Styela clava: one gene and its partner. The protein of the gene in region 2 interacts with the protein of the main gene of each other region in a pairwise test. Links are inferred from orthologs where the notes say so. Each region holds a gene or a part of one and is shown on either strand. Other genes may lie near its edges.

What was found. The genes of interacting proteins can lie anywhere in the genome.
Region 1: the proteins of mitogen-activated protein kinase 1-like (region 2) and ARF GTPase-activating protein GIT2-like interact in a two-hybrid assay, tested with the Caenorhabditis elegans proteins (3 studies listed by BioGRID). The link is inferred for Styela clava from reciprocal best matches to the Caenorhabditis elegans genes mpk-1 and git-1.

Annotation. Positions count from the first base shown.
Region 1 is NC_135260.1:6,658,736-6,666,741, reverse strand, and holds the start of ARF GTPase-activating protein GIT2-like, read right to left. Parts: upstream 3,001-8,006; 5' UTR 2,903-3,000; coding exon 539-2,902; 3' UTR 1-538. Other genes in the region: uncharacterized protein LOC120346911, read right to left, coding at 5,754-5,838.
Region 2 is NC_135252.1:7,506,298-7,513,187, forward strand, and holds the start of mitogen-activated protein kinase 1-like, read right to left. Parts: upstream 3,003-6,890; 5' UTR 2,936-3,002; coding exon 2,829-2,935; intron 1,465-2,828; coding exon 1,282-1,464; intron 707-1,281; coding exon 517-706; intron 1-516. UniProt on the Caenorhabditis elegans protein: Functions in let-60 Ras signaling pathway; acts downstream of lin-45 raf kinase, but before the lin-1 gene product in controlling vulval cell differentiation. Plays a negative role in proximal germline proliferation in the mitotic zone.

The DNA.
Region 1 (8,006 bases), on a different chromosome or scaffold from region 2:
ATCTTTTTCTCAACTAATTCAGCTATCGAGTAGAATAATTCTGTTTCTATATTTATTTAACAAAAATTGAAAACTAATTAGAATCACTGTTTTCTATTAGAAATTAATTCAATTTCTCAACCAATTGTTCCCAAACTTCTCAGACCTATGGCCACTTTTGATATTCGGCCTAGAAGTTACAAACTGTCCCCCCAGTTAAATAATATTTATCAACATATTTTAACAGTTTGAAGATACGTTTAATATAGTAGTCTTGAGTATATTTTGGAATATATAAAATTGTTATCTTATCGCCTTGTGAGTTGACATGGCCGTATTGCAGACCATTGAATAGAGAAACTGTCCATTCTTTATGAAGCATTGAAACAGAAATGGCATTATAACAAAACAAAACTGTTCATGCATGTTGATGATAGAAATTTAAAGATTTTTATCTACTGCAAGCATTTCATCTTTTCTATCATGATTAATAATTGTAGGATTAATGGCAAAAACACGAATTCCCATGATTACTGTTCCACAGTCATAAACCTTACGATCAAGCCTCAGCTCTTGAGGTTGAAGGCTCGGTTTCCTCCTTAGGTGCCATCATAACAAGTTGCTTTTCGGCTTTAGCAACTTCATAAGCATAAGCAATAATTTCCTCCGTCAAATGCTTGTGGCTATCGGCTTTACTTTTATGCTCCGGTGGTGTGTCTTTGCAACGATTTCTGAGCTTGTGAGCACTTTCACATATCAATGATAAGACTGATTTTATTGCTGGCAGGTGAGGTTTGTCGAATAGAGCAATAACTTCTGAAACTGCAGATAGAATATTCTCTGCACATTCTAAATAGGAATCGACTTTCTTCAATTGAGCTGTTTGGAGCAAGGTTTGTATCATTCGAGTAAGTAATTCTGTTTTTTTCATCAACGCTTGACGCTCCGGCCAAATAATTGGCTCCTCTGCATCCACTTGTGAATGAGGACTACTTGAATTACTCTGAGTAGTTTTTTCTTGCGCTTCTTCCTGAGGCTCTGAGGCTTTAGCTGTGTCCTCAGAGACTAAATCAGGCCTAGGCTGTGCTAGAGGAGCTGTTGGTTGCGGAAGATTATTATTTGCATTTAAATTGGTTTGCTGAGGTTCTGCATCTTTGCCAGTAGTTTTCGATTCAGACGTTGCTGTAGTTTCAGACTTGGCTTCGTCTTTTGCAACGGAGTTATTATCGTATTCACTCCCATTACTGCAATGTGATGGGCTATCAGCCGCAGCAACAGCATCATGCTTGGTAACTAATGGACTTGCTGATTGTTGAAGGTCCTCACCAGTGGCACCTTGATGATCAACATGAATTGTACGACGACGTAACTCTGAACTCTCAGTCGAGTGCAATGACGATGTACTCCCTGATGAGTCATTCGGATTATATACAGAACTTGGTCTAGCAGTAGGACTCTGAAGTCCGATTCGAGGCAGTGCTGTAAAATCACTTTGGTGCGCTGCTTGGGGCGTGCTCTTGGCAGATTGGGTTAGCTGTGGAACATTAGAAAGCAACGTTTGAATTTTTCTAGTTAAATCAATCTTCTGTTTTGCCAGTGCTGTGACTTTTGTAGACAACTCACGATTTTGTTCAGTGAGTCTCAAACATTCAGCATTTTTCTCCTCTAATTTTGCTTTTATTGAGAGAAACTCTTCCTTTGGTACAGTTTCTTTAGGTGGCTCAATAGATTTCTCGATTGCAAAGTAATTCAATTCTTCATCAGGTGGAATGTCATAAATCGGGTCTTCTTCTGGAGGAATAGGATCAAAAATTTTCTGTCTTCGAGTGACTTCATGTAGAATATCACAGATTAAATTATTCATTTCAGCTTCTTTGAAAATTGCTAGCTTTTGACGACCCTGGTTACGAGTCGTTGAATAATCTGGATGAACTGGAAGAAACGGAACAACCTCGGTTTGTAATGCTGGGTTTGTGCCTTTCCCAGGAAATAAAATTCCCTTCTGTATTTCTTGCCAAACTCGTTCCAATTCACGACGGTCGACTTCATCATAAACATCCATAGCTAATTCCCCGAATGTTTGGTTGTTTAGAGCTCGAAGACGCCGCTTACCCTCTGGGCTTATCACACAAGCATCCTTTATCTTAGGTAAAAGATAATGCTTTCCAGCCTTATGATCTGGAGTTTGACTGCAAACGAACTCAGTGAATCTATCAGATAGTTCATGCTGAAGTTCAACTAATCGATCGGCTAAATCATTATGATTCTCAGCTCTGGCTATGTCTTCAGGTGTTTTACCATTTGAATCTCGTATAGCAGGATCCGCTCCATAAGCAACAAGCAATTCAACCTGCAGGCTTTGCCCAACTTTCGATGCCACATGAAGCGGTGCATTTCCTCTTTCTGGACTAAAAAAATTTGCTTGAGCGCCACGAGATAAAAGTCGTAAACATGTTTCCAAGTTACCAGTTCTCACGCTTGAATGAAGCTGTTTGCTAATGTCATGATGTTCATCTTCTCTGAGTGGTAAGCGATGAACGTAAGACAAATTCAAATACTTGGATTTGATAAAATCGGATTTTGTTGGGTGAATATTGTCATTAGGATTAGGTTTTCTTTTTCCACTACGCATTTGAGCAGGATCTAACAGCGAGTGTTCCCAAATAGAATTTGCACCCGCAGACACTAGATGTTGCACCATGCTGAGCATATTTGGGTGCCAGGTGCATTTATGCAGATGCTTCACTTGGGAAATATGTCGTCCAAGAGTCATGTGCACACTTGCGCAATCATTGCACATCAAAACACCACGATTCACTGATGCCCAGTTAGCATCTGGAGCTCCACAATCCGAACATATTTCAGAAAGAGGTCGTATCCCAGATTTGACTGGATTTCTCGGCATCGTTCTGCTTTTCATCATTGTCACAGTGAATTGAATTTCACCAACATTAAGTCATCAACACCATCCAATTTATTTTTTTAATATTTGTAATTTGCTAAAGAATTAGGAATGTTAATACAATTCATAGCAATGTTATAATGCATTGTTAGGCAATAATGGAAAAGGGGTGTCTTTCACTTCAAAACATTTACTGCATTTCCAATCATGCTATTACTGAATTATAAAATTCTATACACACATACACAGCAGTATAACCTGTTCCTAAATTATTTCCACTATCCACTACCATCAGACCTTGCAATCATGCTTTTGTTTGTTGGTGATAACTACTGAACTTATAAATTACTAGTATGCAACAATCTTGGGGTCCAGTGTAGTTTCGTACCTAAACTACTTCTAGCGGGTGTTACATAACAATTTTTGCATATGTTAATCCTAACCCCCACCTGACTGGGTCATCTAAAAATTATGGCACTATGACATCACAGTGACGCAATAGAGGTCAAACTATATGAACTATCATCCAAGATGTGCAGACGATCATCTGGAATCGAGCAACTCTTGTCGCAACGATCCCAATATGAGAGAGATCGCTGCCATTAGTGAGTCGCTATCATCGACGCACATGCCATTTTTGGGCGATCGTATGAGCTCTATGTCGTGAATGTGACGTCGTAGTGACATAACTTTGGGATGGCATAGTCAGGTCTGCAGGATTGACACGTGAAAAAATTGTTATGCTATGCCCACTAGAAGTAAGTTAGGTACAAAACTACATGCTGACATGAGACCCCAGTCATGATGGGTTAGATATAACAGAATACTGGAATAAGGAATTTTAAATCGTTCTGCCTTGTGTCATACAGAGTAGGTACACATCTACAGCATTTTGGGTCTAGTATAGTTTAGTACCACAAGTACTTCCGGTGGGCGTAGCATAACGAATTTTGCTTATGCTATTCCTAACCCCCACCTGACTGTGCCATCCAAAAATTACGTCACTACGACGTCACCATCACGTCATAGGGATTGCCAAAGTATAATTACGATCGCCCGAAATGACATCTGCGCCGCTGATAACGAACTTGCTAAAGCCGGCGATCTCTCTCCTATCGTGATCGTTGTGACGAGAAAACGGGAGAAATTGATTGCTCGATTTCGGGTGATCGTCTGCGCGTTTTGGACAACCATCCGCATACTTCGGTGGGCATTATTACGCCACTGTGACGTCAAAATGACGTAATTTTTCGGTGACGTAGTCAGGTGGGGGTTAGGATTGACATATGCAAAAATTGTTGAGCCAGGTCAACTAGAAGTACATGTGGTACTAAACTATACCAGACCCGGCATTTTAAGGTACATGAAATGGATTCATCCTGAGAGAGAAAAAAGGTGATACAGTGATAAGATGGTGTAATCATATGGCGAATGACAGTCTCTCGTGCAGTTATTAGTCCATTTCGATATGGGATTAGTTATTTTTTGTCATTGTTTTCCAGTTATTTTTGTTTTTGACAGTCAGATGCATGAACTTGCATTCATACCTGCATACAGAATTCTGCTATTTCAGTATTTCTATATTTGTTGAAATAACAAACATAGTACAGTAATAAGTAATCAGCACTACAACAGTTAAGTACTAGAAAGATTCCAAAAATTCTAAGATTTAGTTAGAGTCTCACAGACAGTTTCAGTCTTCATTATTAAACTAATTAAACCCATTAATAAACTTATACTTATTACGGTACCGGTATCTGATCACTGGATTGTGATATGCGTTGTCCAAATAGTCTACAGAACTAAAAAAACAAATACAGAACTACAGAACTGTCTAACGAACACTGGAATATACTACAAACTCAAAAAGAATCATTCAATTACGACAATTGAACAATTGATTCGAAAACACGACTGCGCGACAACAGAAAGATACCCCCACTGACTGCTTCCACGCCTAGGATTGGTGATTTCCCCTCCTTATTCTATTATAAGTCTTTGTGTACAGGAGGTGCTTGGAGTGCACTTTCATGAGCGAGGTATCACGGCAATTAAATACATTTAAGGAAACATGCACACTATACTGAAGACTAAATATTTTTTATAATATACGGTATTCATATATGATAGAATATCCTAATCATAACAGTTTTTAACCAATAAAAAGCGACCAAAAAAATAGGATCAACATTGGTCTCCCACCACCATATTTAACGAACTCTTCAGCGACAACTGACGGCCGAACGTCGCTACTGAATCAGTTCCCGTATTAAGTACGTTTTTATCGCGTCAGTCGTGTAATATAATACATTGATTCTGAATCTGTCAATTTTGTTATTGAACCCTAATTAGAAGCTGAAACCAGTAATGGTATGTAAATAAATCTGTCAAAACTATACTACCTGTTTCTCACCCAATCTACGTACAGGTATGTCAACAACAGTGTCTCTATTTTTCTCGACCTTTTCAACAACGCGTCAGAAAGTAATTGCCCTCCAGCGAATGCTGTGAAGCTCAGTTTCAATACCGGCAAAAATTACATTAAAATACGAAACATACAAACGGAAATAATTTCGTTCATAAATACTGTAGAATAATCACACTTATAATTTCGACCCATCTTGATGGGATCAAAAATGTAATATAAACAAGCACTGAGATTCATCCTCACGATCGATTGAGTTTTTGTTAATTTAATTTTTAAAACAATTTTAAGATGATCTGTTATGTTATAATTTATCAACGAAACAGCCCAATTATGTGCTATCAGCTAAACTACGTTTATTTTCTAAGATTGTAGATAAAATAATGGAGAACCAAACGTAACAAAATCACACACACGAAGAGAATATAATACAACATAAAAGCTCACCTGATTTAGCATTATCTTCGGCCACAGAAATACCGATAATAACGGCGACGACGAGGAAGAAATTCATTGCAGTACTCTTGTACATCAAATATCCCTTTGGTTTTGGTTCGACGATCGTCACAGATAAAATTTCTGACGAATTTCTATTTCATCGAAGAATGGTGATTATTTAGCCTGCAGCTAACGCGCATGTTTTTCTGTAGATTTGTTGATATCGGGTGGTTTTGCAGTGTGAGGAAAACTTAGTGAAAGGCACTGACGCTGGGAAAGTCCGATAGCGCGCCACATAAAGCCTTGCAGGGATTGCAAGGAATACAACTGTTCATGTCTAAAATAAATAAACATAATTCCTAAAATAATGCTAAATTTTGAATTGTTGTTGGTGTCGTTTGGGGTGATTGTTATAGAAATTCGCTTTCAAATTTTCAATACATAAAATGCGAGAACTCGCTAGAAGCCTATTACTTTTATTTGTAATTTTTTCTGAGGATACCATGATACCAAATATTTCATCCAAAATTGTGATGTTTTACCCGAATTGGCGGGAATACTGTTTTGATCGTTGAATTTCGCGATCATATGAGTATTGCTTCTATTTCGTTGTTTTTATTAAATGTAGCAGCTCTACCTTGGATTCTATCGTACTCGTTGTTTGTGTCATAAATCTAAAAACAAGCAATTGTAATCGCGTTGTTTAAAGCTTTTTTAAATTATCATGAAATTATAATTACCGTACAAAGCTCATTAGACACAAAAAAATCAATATTTTGTTTATAAAACAATAGTACTTGTTTTTAGAGTAATCAAAAAAGACCAAAGTACTACCCGATCCATACATTAGGGCGGCATAGAATACACGCTTATAAAGCGCACGATGGATTTTTGACAAAAAAAAAGCTACAGGGGTGGTAGCACAAAAGTCACATTGGCGGTGTCCAAATAGGGCTGATGAAATGCGGTCGTTGCGTGTCAAATTGGGGGTGACGAAATAAGATCGTCGAGTCAAGTTAGGGGTGACGAAATACGGTCGGGGCGTGTCAGATTAAGGGTGACAAAATACGGACGGTGCGTGTCAGATTGGGGGTGACGAAATACGTTCGCTGCGAAGAAACCGAAGATTTAATTTCTGCATGTCAGAATAGTAGAAGCACGTTTTGAACTGGACCTAATCAAACCTACCAAACATAGCGTATATTCCGGTAATTTTAGGAAAATATATATATATGTATCATAGTCAAACGTGGTTTTGTATTTAAACTTAATTTACCACAATTATCTTTTTACTTTTTAATACAGCGATATTGGACGTCTAATACATTTAAAGCAAGTATAGGGGTGACGAAATGCGGTCGTTGTGTGTCAAAATGGGAGTGACGAAATAGGGCCGTCGAGTCAAGTTAGGGGTGGCGAAATACGGTCGGTGCATGTCAGATTGGGGGTGACGAAATACGGTCGTTGGGTGGTGTCAGGTTAGGGGTGACAAAATACGGTCGCTGCGAAGAAACCTTAAATATTTGATATCGAAGTATCGGAGAGTATAAAATAGGGGGAAAAAACATTTAACGTTCTCTCGTGGGTACTTTTGGAAATGTCGAAAAATTAAAGTTTTGGATGGGCGGTTTCTCGAAAATTTTCAATAAAGTCAGCATTACGATATATTGACAAAAAAAGGAAATAAAAAACATATAAATTCGATTTCATCATTTCAGAATTGTAGCAGCACGTTTTGAACTGGCCATATATAATACCAAACATGGCGTATATTCCGATAATTTTATGAAAAATATATATCTATCATAGTTAAGTATGGTTTTGTATTTCAACTAAATTTACTAAATAATTGAACAATTATCTTTTTTACTTTCGCATACACTGATACTGAACGTTTATACACATGGAATAAGTTGCAGGTATTACAAAATAACAATAAACATTATATGTCCTTTCGTGGATTTTTTTTAATTCTGAAAATTAAAATTTTGATTGGATGATTTCCGGAAAACCTCCTATAAAGGCAGTAATACGACACACTGGGAATAGAGGGGAGACGTAATAGATTCGATTTTATCGTGGCAAAACAGTAGCACGGTTTTACATGGCCGTATGTATTTCCAAACATAGCGTATAAATGTAACATATTTTAAAGAGGATGCTTTCGAGAATCGCTTTTTGGAAAAGTTTATTTTCCTCGAGATGACATTCACATTTATCGATTTGGATGAAACACAAAACCAATTCAAAATATTTTACGTC
Region 2 (6,890 bases):
CCGATATTCTAGTTAATAAATTACTAGTTTTTGAAAGTATCGGAATCTTTCCGATTTGGCATTACCTACTCAATTTATTACACTCTAGGTGAAGTGGTGGGCATTGAATTTGAACCAGCAATTTTAACATAGTAAAGTCGTTCACTTTACCCACAAGGCCATCACACCCATGGTTATAGTTTAAATAGTTTGAAAAATGGGGCATATTTGACATAATTGATTATTATTTGAAAAAAACCTGAGGTGGATTTATTTAATTATGATATAATAATATAGTAGCATGATTTCATTCATATTTTTGCATTTTTAAAAATGTTGACCATCCACACTCTTATTTAGTACCTTATTAGTTAAGTGTACTACCACCAAGCCTATGTTGACATCCTGTCAAATAGGAAGGTGATCACACATCATGAATTCATATATTTTGCTTCACTATCATCGCTATAAAATACATGACTCACATCATGCTTTCATGAAACTGCAATAAATCAATATATACCACGTAATAATCACCTTCAAATCGCAAGTGGTGTTTAGCAACAAATTGCTCGGCTTCAAATCACGGTGAATCACATGAGCTGAATGAATGTATTTCAATCCTCTCAAGATTTGGTACAAGAAGTAACAAATGTGATCGTTGCTCAAATGCTGAGTTTTTAGCAGTTTGTAAAGATCGGTTTCCATCAAATCTTGCACTATGTGTCTAAATTGAGTTATAGATAATATGATGTATTATAAGGAGGTAAAAATTTAGAAGGGTCATTTCAAATTAAAGATTAAGAGCAACACTAAGAACAAAAATGATGAATTCTAAATGTCGAGTATATAAAAATTTGTGGTAAATAGTGTTTTTATAGCGTAAATTTAAAAACTTCAATTAGAGTTTTACACCAATTTATTGAAATCAACTAACAGATTAAAATATCTGATTTTCATTTTTTTGTGGGACATACAGTATTACAAATTTCGTTATCAACTTTATGATGAAAGAGATGTTGACTAAAAACTTTTTTTATTGAATTATGGATATTCACATTTAGCTTTGAATTTTTTGATGAACAAAATAGAAAAATTTGAAGATTCAAATTCTGGCTTTATATAACAGAAAAAATTTTGAAGTGCACATCACTCAACAGTCAATATCTTACTGAAAATCGGGATCCAGTGGCTACTTATTTTCTCGTGTTGAGGAATATGACCTAGCCCAATGTTAATAAGTACTGGAAAATGTATGTGAAATCGATGAAGTTTGAACTATAACTAAATAAATCTACTTACACATCTTTCATGTTTGCGATATTGGCAGACCGAATGATGTCTTTGATCGTAATAATATTTTCATGGTTGAAACTGAGCAATATCTTGATTTCTCTGTAAGTACGCTGGCAGTAAGTTTGATGCTCGAATGGACTAATTTTCTTGATAGCCACTTTTGTTCCTTTGAATGTGTCCATTGCAGACCTAAACCATAGTTCGAGTTTATAACAAGTGCAAATATTTTGGTCATGTGACAGTTGACGTATGTCACCTGAGCTCAAGAATATAATTTTTTTCGTGGAATAAATTTATTTAATAATTTATTCCCTCTACCAGTTCTTCATGCAATGACTTTTTATCGAATAAAGTTTTCAAATACCATAATTTCCAAGTCCAATTTATCAAGATTTTCAATTTCGTTTGATCTGAATTGTATGAATATGGCTATACTACCCAAAAATAAAACACATTTTTGAATAATCTGTAAGAAAAATATACAATATTCTTTTTGATTGCATTTTCCTCAAAATAAGTTACCATTAAGTAATATGCAACTATTTATAATACAGTTGAACACTCTCTTGAAAATGACAGTACACTTGTAAAAATTACATGTGAAACTTTTATGTTAGATTCAAAACAAGTACTCTGTCCATAAAAACAAAGAAACTTTATTTCAACATGACCAGCAGTTAGGGGTAGATCATGATAATATTGAATATTATCAAGCATGTGACGACAATCTTATCCAGTGTATTCTTAGGCAAACAATTTCTTATTAGTTGAAAATGTCTAGTACATAATGTGTAAATATTTGACTTTCATAACTCTACCCTATGTTTGAAGAAACTGTATTATGACAAAGCTTTAGATCTATATTCATCTTCTTTTTATTACTTCATTATATTACAGAATACAAGTGCATTTGAGAATTGATTGTAGTATCAATGAATTCAGAAAAATAGTTCCCATACAGGATTTAAAATGTTACATATTTATCATATTGACTATGGACAACAACAATATCAGGTACTGAGCTGCTAAACATATGATGAAAATGCTGAGGAAAAAATAATTCTCGGAATACTGATAAATCTTATTCAGGGTTAATCTTGCTCATAATCATGATCGATATTTTATACCCTTCTGAATTAGTAATATTAATAAAACTTTGATATGCACACTATATCCAACTAACGGATATTTTGAGATAACAATTCGAGATGACAAACTTATTATGAATTTCAAGTTTATTTTGAATTGAAGTTGAAATTTCAAGTACATCACCCTATGAATATCCAATACCGGGAAATAATTTAGTTTAAAATTTGCCCTATTGCAAATTTGCAATGTTATTGCGAGTCAATTATAGTATATGTATTGATCAATTAGGAATAATTAATATTAAAAAGTATCGCACACAAGTATCCTACATTTGAAATATGAAAATTATATCTATCAGAAGAACATTATTACAAAATCCAACTTTACATTAACAGTAAATAAAAAACTCTAATGCTGACCTATTTGCCAGTGTAGCAATTCTGTATTGAAAATAAGATACTTACACAACCATTCCATAGGCTCCTTCTCCAATATATGACAAGTTTAAATATCTTGGTCCAACATCAAAAACTTGTCCCCTCACCACCTCAGCACAAGCCTTACGTTCCATGCTTTAAATTTACCTCAAACGATATAAACTATAATAGTGTGAATGTGAACTATAAATCAAGAAAGAAAGAGTTTTTGTTATATTTAATTTTTCTAATCAGAACCAAATTTTAATAAAATAAAAATAATATAACATGAAGTAATCTATGCAGAATAAATTTGACTAATCATTCAAACATAACTAATGAATTCTGAAGAGTTGACATCCTACTAAGAAGTCTGGGGTATATTGTTGACTAGCGTAGAACCCTTGCACCTTGAGCTCAATTCCTGAAAAAACTTAATCTAAGGTATTGGAAAATATTACTAAAGAAGGTGATCAGAAATATTGGCAAGAGTACCATAAACTCAGCCAAACAGGAAGTCGGTTACAATTTACATTCAGTCAAAAAAGTATTAATCATGATTCATGATACAGTTGTTCACTACACATTCACCAACAGCTGATAACCCTAAAAATCATCACTATTCAAAAATGTTCATGATAAAATAGCATAGCAGTATTAATATGAATCAAACAAACTGCTACAGTTTACTTCTATTCCATTACAACTAATACTGAATATCATGCGAATTCTCGATTTTAGAATTGATTCAGATCGATTTGTATTTGAAAAGTCATCATTTAGAACAGTTCAAGTCTCACTGTATCTCAGCTTTTTTTTACTTTCAAACTCAAACCAATTATTGAATATACATCGACAACAGTGAACTTCAACCACTGAAAATTTCAAAGCGATAGGTCTAGTAATTAAAAAGAAAAATATTTCTAACAACAGCTTTATACCAAAATGCCGAATTTAAAATATATTTGGTATTCCACATTTGGGTATATTGTATTAAAATGTTCTTGGAATACAGTAGTAAATTATTGCATTTTGGCCATTTCTGGGTATTACCTATACCTTCCATTCTTAATGCTAAACCTAAGCAATGCCTCATATATTATATATAGATATCTCAAAGGCGATTGCAGAATTAAAAGAAACAATAACTACCATTTGCTATACATAGACACAATAATATTATTATATTATGATGATCAAAGATTTTGCATTATTAATGATGATCATAAAATGAAAAAAAAAGTATTCCATGCCAGATTTTAGAGTGCAGTAACCGCCAAATAGCTCGCTTGACAAAATTCTGCACAAGCAAATTTCCCATTTACATTATATTTTTGTCTATATATTCTTTTGAGTGGCTATTTTTCAGTAATTAAAATTTGCTCACCCTTTAGCTTTAAATTTTGTACAATTTATCATATATAGCAGGGGTGGCCAACCTGCTTTCGACCGCGGTCGACTAAAATCTTCAAAATAGCTCGCGATCGACTGATCAGTAACATGGGTATATATATATAACTAATGGGTACTGAATATACAAATGACTGCACTGCACACACGCATACGAAAAATTCCAACGCCCCAATAAGGTCGGCTCTGTAGGCGCATTTTCAATAAAAATCGTTCCATGTTATTTGTTAATGTAATTGTACCAGGAGTAAATTTTCATCGCTTATTTGAGATTTATTGAGTAATACGATTCAGATCTACAGCATGCCTAATTTTCAGTCTTAAATGTTCCTCAAGAAATCTTGCCAAGTATCCATATTATTTAAACAGCGAAAAATAAATATTCTCAAACCATATATGTTACACAACTGCTTAAACTTCCGTTCTAATTTACAATTGCCCTCTAGTTTACAGTCTTCGCTAACTTGGAATTATAAAAAATTTGGCATTCTAATGCCACTGCTGTCGTTGTGAATACAATTTATCACACTACTCTTGGAGTGAGACAATAACTTTCGCATACTGCAGAAGTTATTGTAAGATCGTTTCTCAGTCAAGACATACGACATTCGGCACGTTCATTTCTAAACCTTGGCAGCGATTAAACTTTCATTTGTTACGAAATAATAAGCGCTATCAGGTTTGCCCAGACTCAAATACTGTATATCATATTTTGCGCATGTACAGTACTATATTCTTCCTTCGTAAAACTGGTTCAAGGCAAAATTTTAGGGTATGTTATTAAATTCACTCAACATCAGACATCAATTAGAACATAAAAGACATCAATTATAACAGTGAATGCAGACTCTTCCTTTACGAAACAGTCTTATAAACTAAGATGAAGCGCAATCTAAAAACGTTACCATGGGTTTACTTTGAAAAAAATAATCCCATTTACCGAAGAGAAAAATTTACCCTAGCATTCATTTTAGCAAAAAACCATCGGCAGGGGAGAATTTCGGTCATGTGATGGCTGACACATGTTAAATCATTATTGAGACAAGCATGGCGCAATCTGCAGAACTGCCTTTGTGCCAGCACTCTCGTTTCAGACACAAATAGAGTGTTTGTTTTATTGAACCAAATGTCGGGACATCTTGGAATCGGAGAACTGTGCCCAACTGACATTCGCATTGGGAGTTGATGATGGAAGAAGCCGTAAACAACCAGCAGCTATTAATACGCGAACCACCCTCCGGTGACAAGGAGTTCAGCCATTCTCTTGCACATAGTTAACCCCCACAGGATTCTGCGAACCCGCGCAGGGTAATCAGGGGCCACATCGCCGAGAATAAATCACAACTGTGGTCTGTTTTAAACAAATATATGTGAATAAATCTCTGTGTCTCCTTTACAATGCAAAGCAACTGGATATCAGTCATCAGTCACTCAAACCTGAAACCCAAGTGCAGTTTCAAGTATTTTGTGGCGTCTAAAGCTGCCGCAAAACCATGGCAAGATTTCCAAACCATGGCCGCTATAGCCAAACCTATGGCAACTGACTTTTTAGCTGCCACAAACCAATGGCGAGCTGCCGTTACCGCGACAGCAAATTGAAAACCAAAGGCGGGTAAAATTTTTCTGCCATAAACAGGGCATGTCGGCTGTAATGGTAGGGCTGCCCCTAATGGTAATAAATATTGGGTAGGTCTGTAGGTTGGAACATTTTTTTTATAAATACAATTTGGATAGATTTGAGGTTAGATTTGAGGTTTAAATAGATATAATTCCGCATGATAAACTAAAATCTGGTACACGACTTTGTGAATATACCGGTATTACTGAATAGCGCCATGGCAAGAGACGCCACGATTCGTTCGTGGCGGGAGCTGCCATGAAGTGGTAAGAACGGCGACTCCTGAAACCAGTAAACCTTATAATTAATAGATTAATGCCATCGAGTAGTTCAGTCTGTCAGTAGTTGGAAAGGCTAAGGCTGTGCGGGACGAAACAGCTTGTGTCGAAAAGTCTGTAAACCAAGCAGAAATGATCATGACAATACAATCATTGTATAAGAAAATAACTAAATAAAGCAATAATTAATAATGCAGTACTGTAATACAGTAATAAGGGAACACAGCAGGATAGGCTGACAGTGATAGATACTTTATTTCTTTATAAACAGGGTGAGAATAGCGGGATCAAGAAAGCAGATTGGCCAGAACTTACCATAGACTACTTGTACAACGTAGGTAACAGTACGGCACAGGACGAAACGTATCTGTACCGGTATATTTTAGACGCCTGGTCATATCAGCATATTGCTGTATTGTGCAGGGGGGTGTCAGTCTGCACTGCTGTACCGGTAGTGGAGCAGCGGCAGAGCGGAGAGAAACTGGTACGATTTCAGCATTTGCAATTTGCGTTCCTCAGCATTAGGAACATTATGTAGGCTACCGGCACATAACTTTTGTAACATTTCGCTGATTCATATTCCAAATGAACACAAAAGAAAGCCTTATAAACCAACAACACGGCGGGCGACTCAGCAGTCAACAGCCAAAATAACCTTCCGATGGATTCCGCGTGGTGGCGCCCTAATAGAATGATCATAGTTGGGTATATAGCAATGAAAAATGGTAAAATCCTGATACACAAAAGAAAGTGGCATTTATTTATATAATAGTCGATCAAGTGACTTTTTGCTATTTAATTACA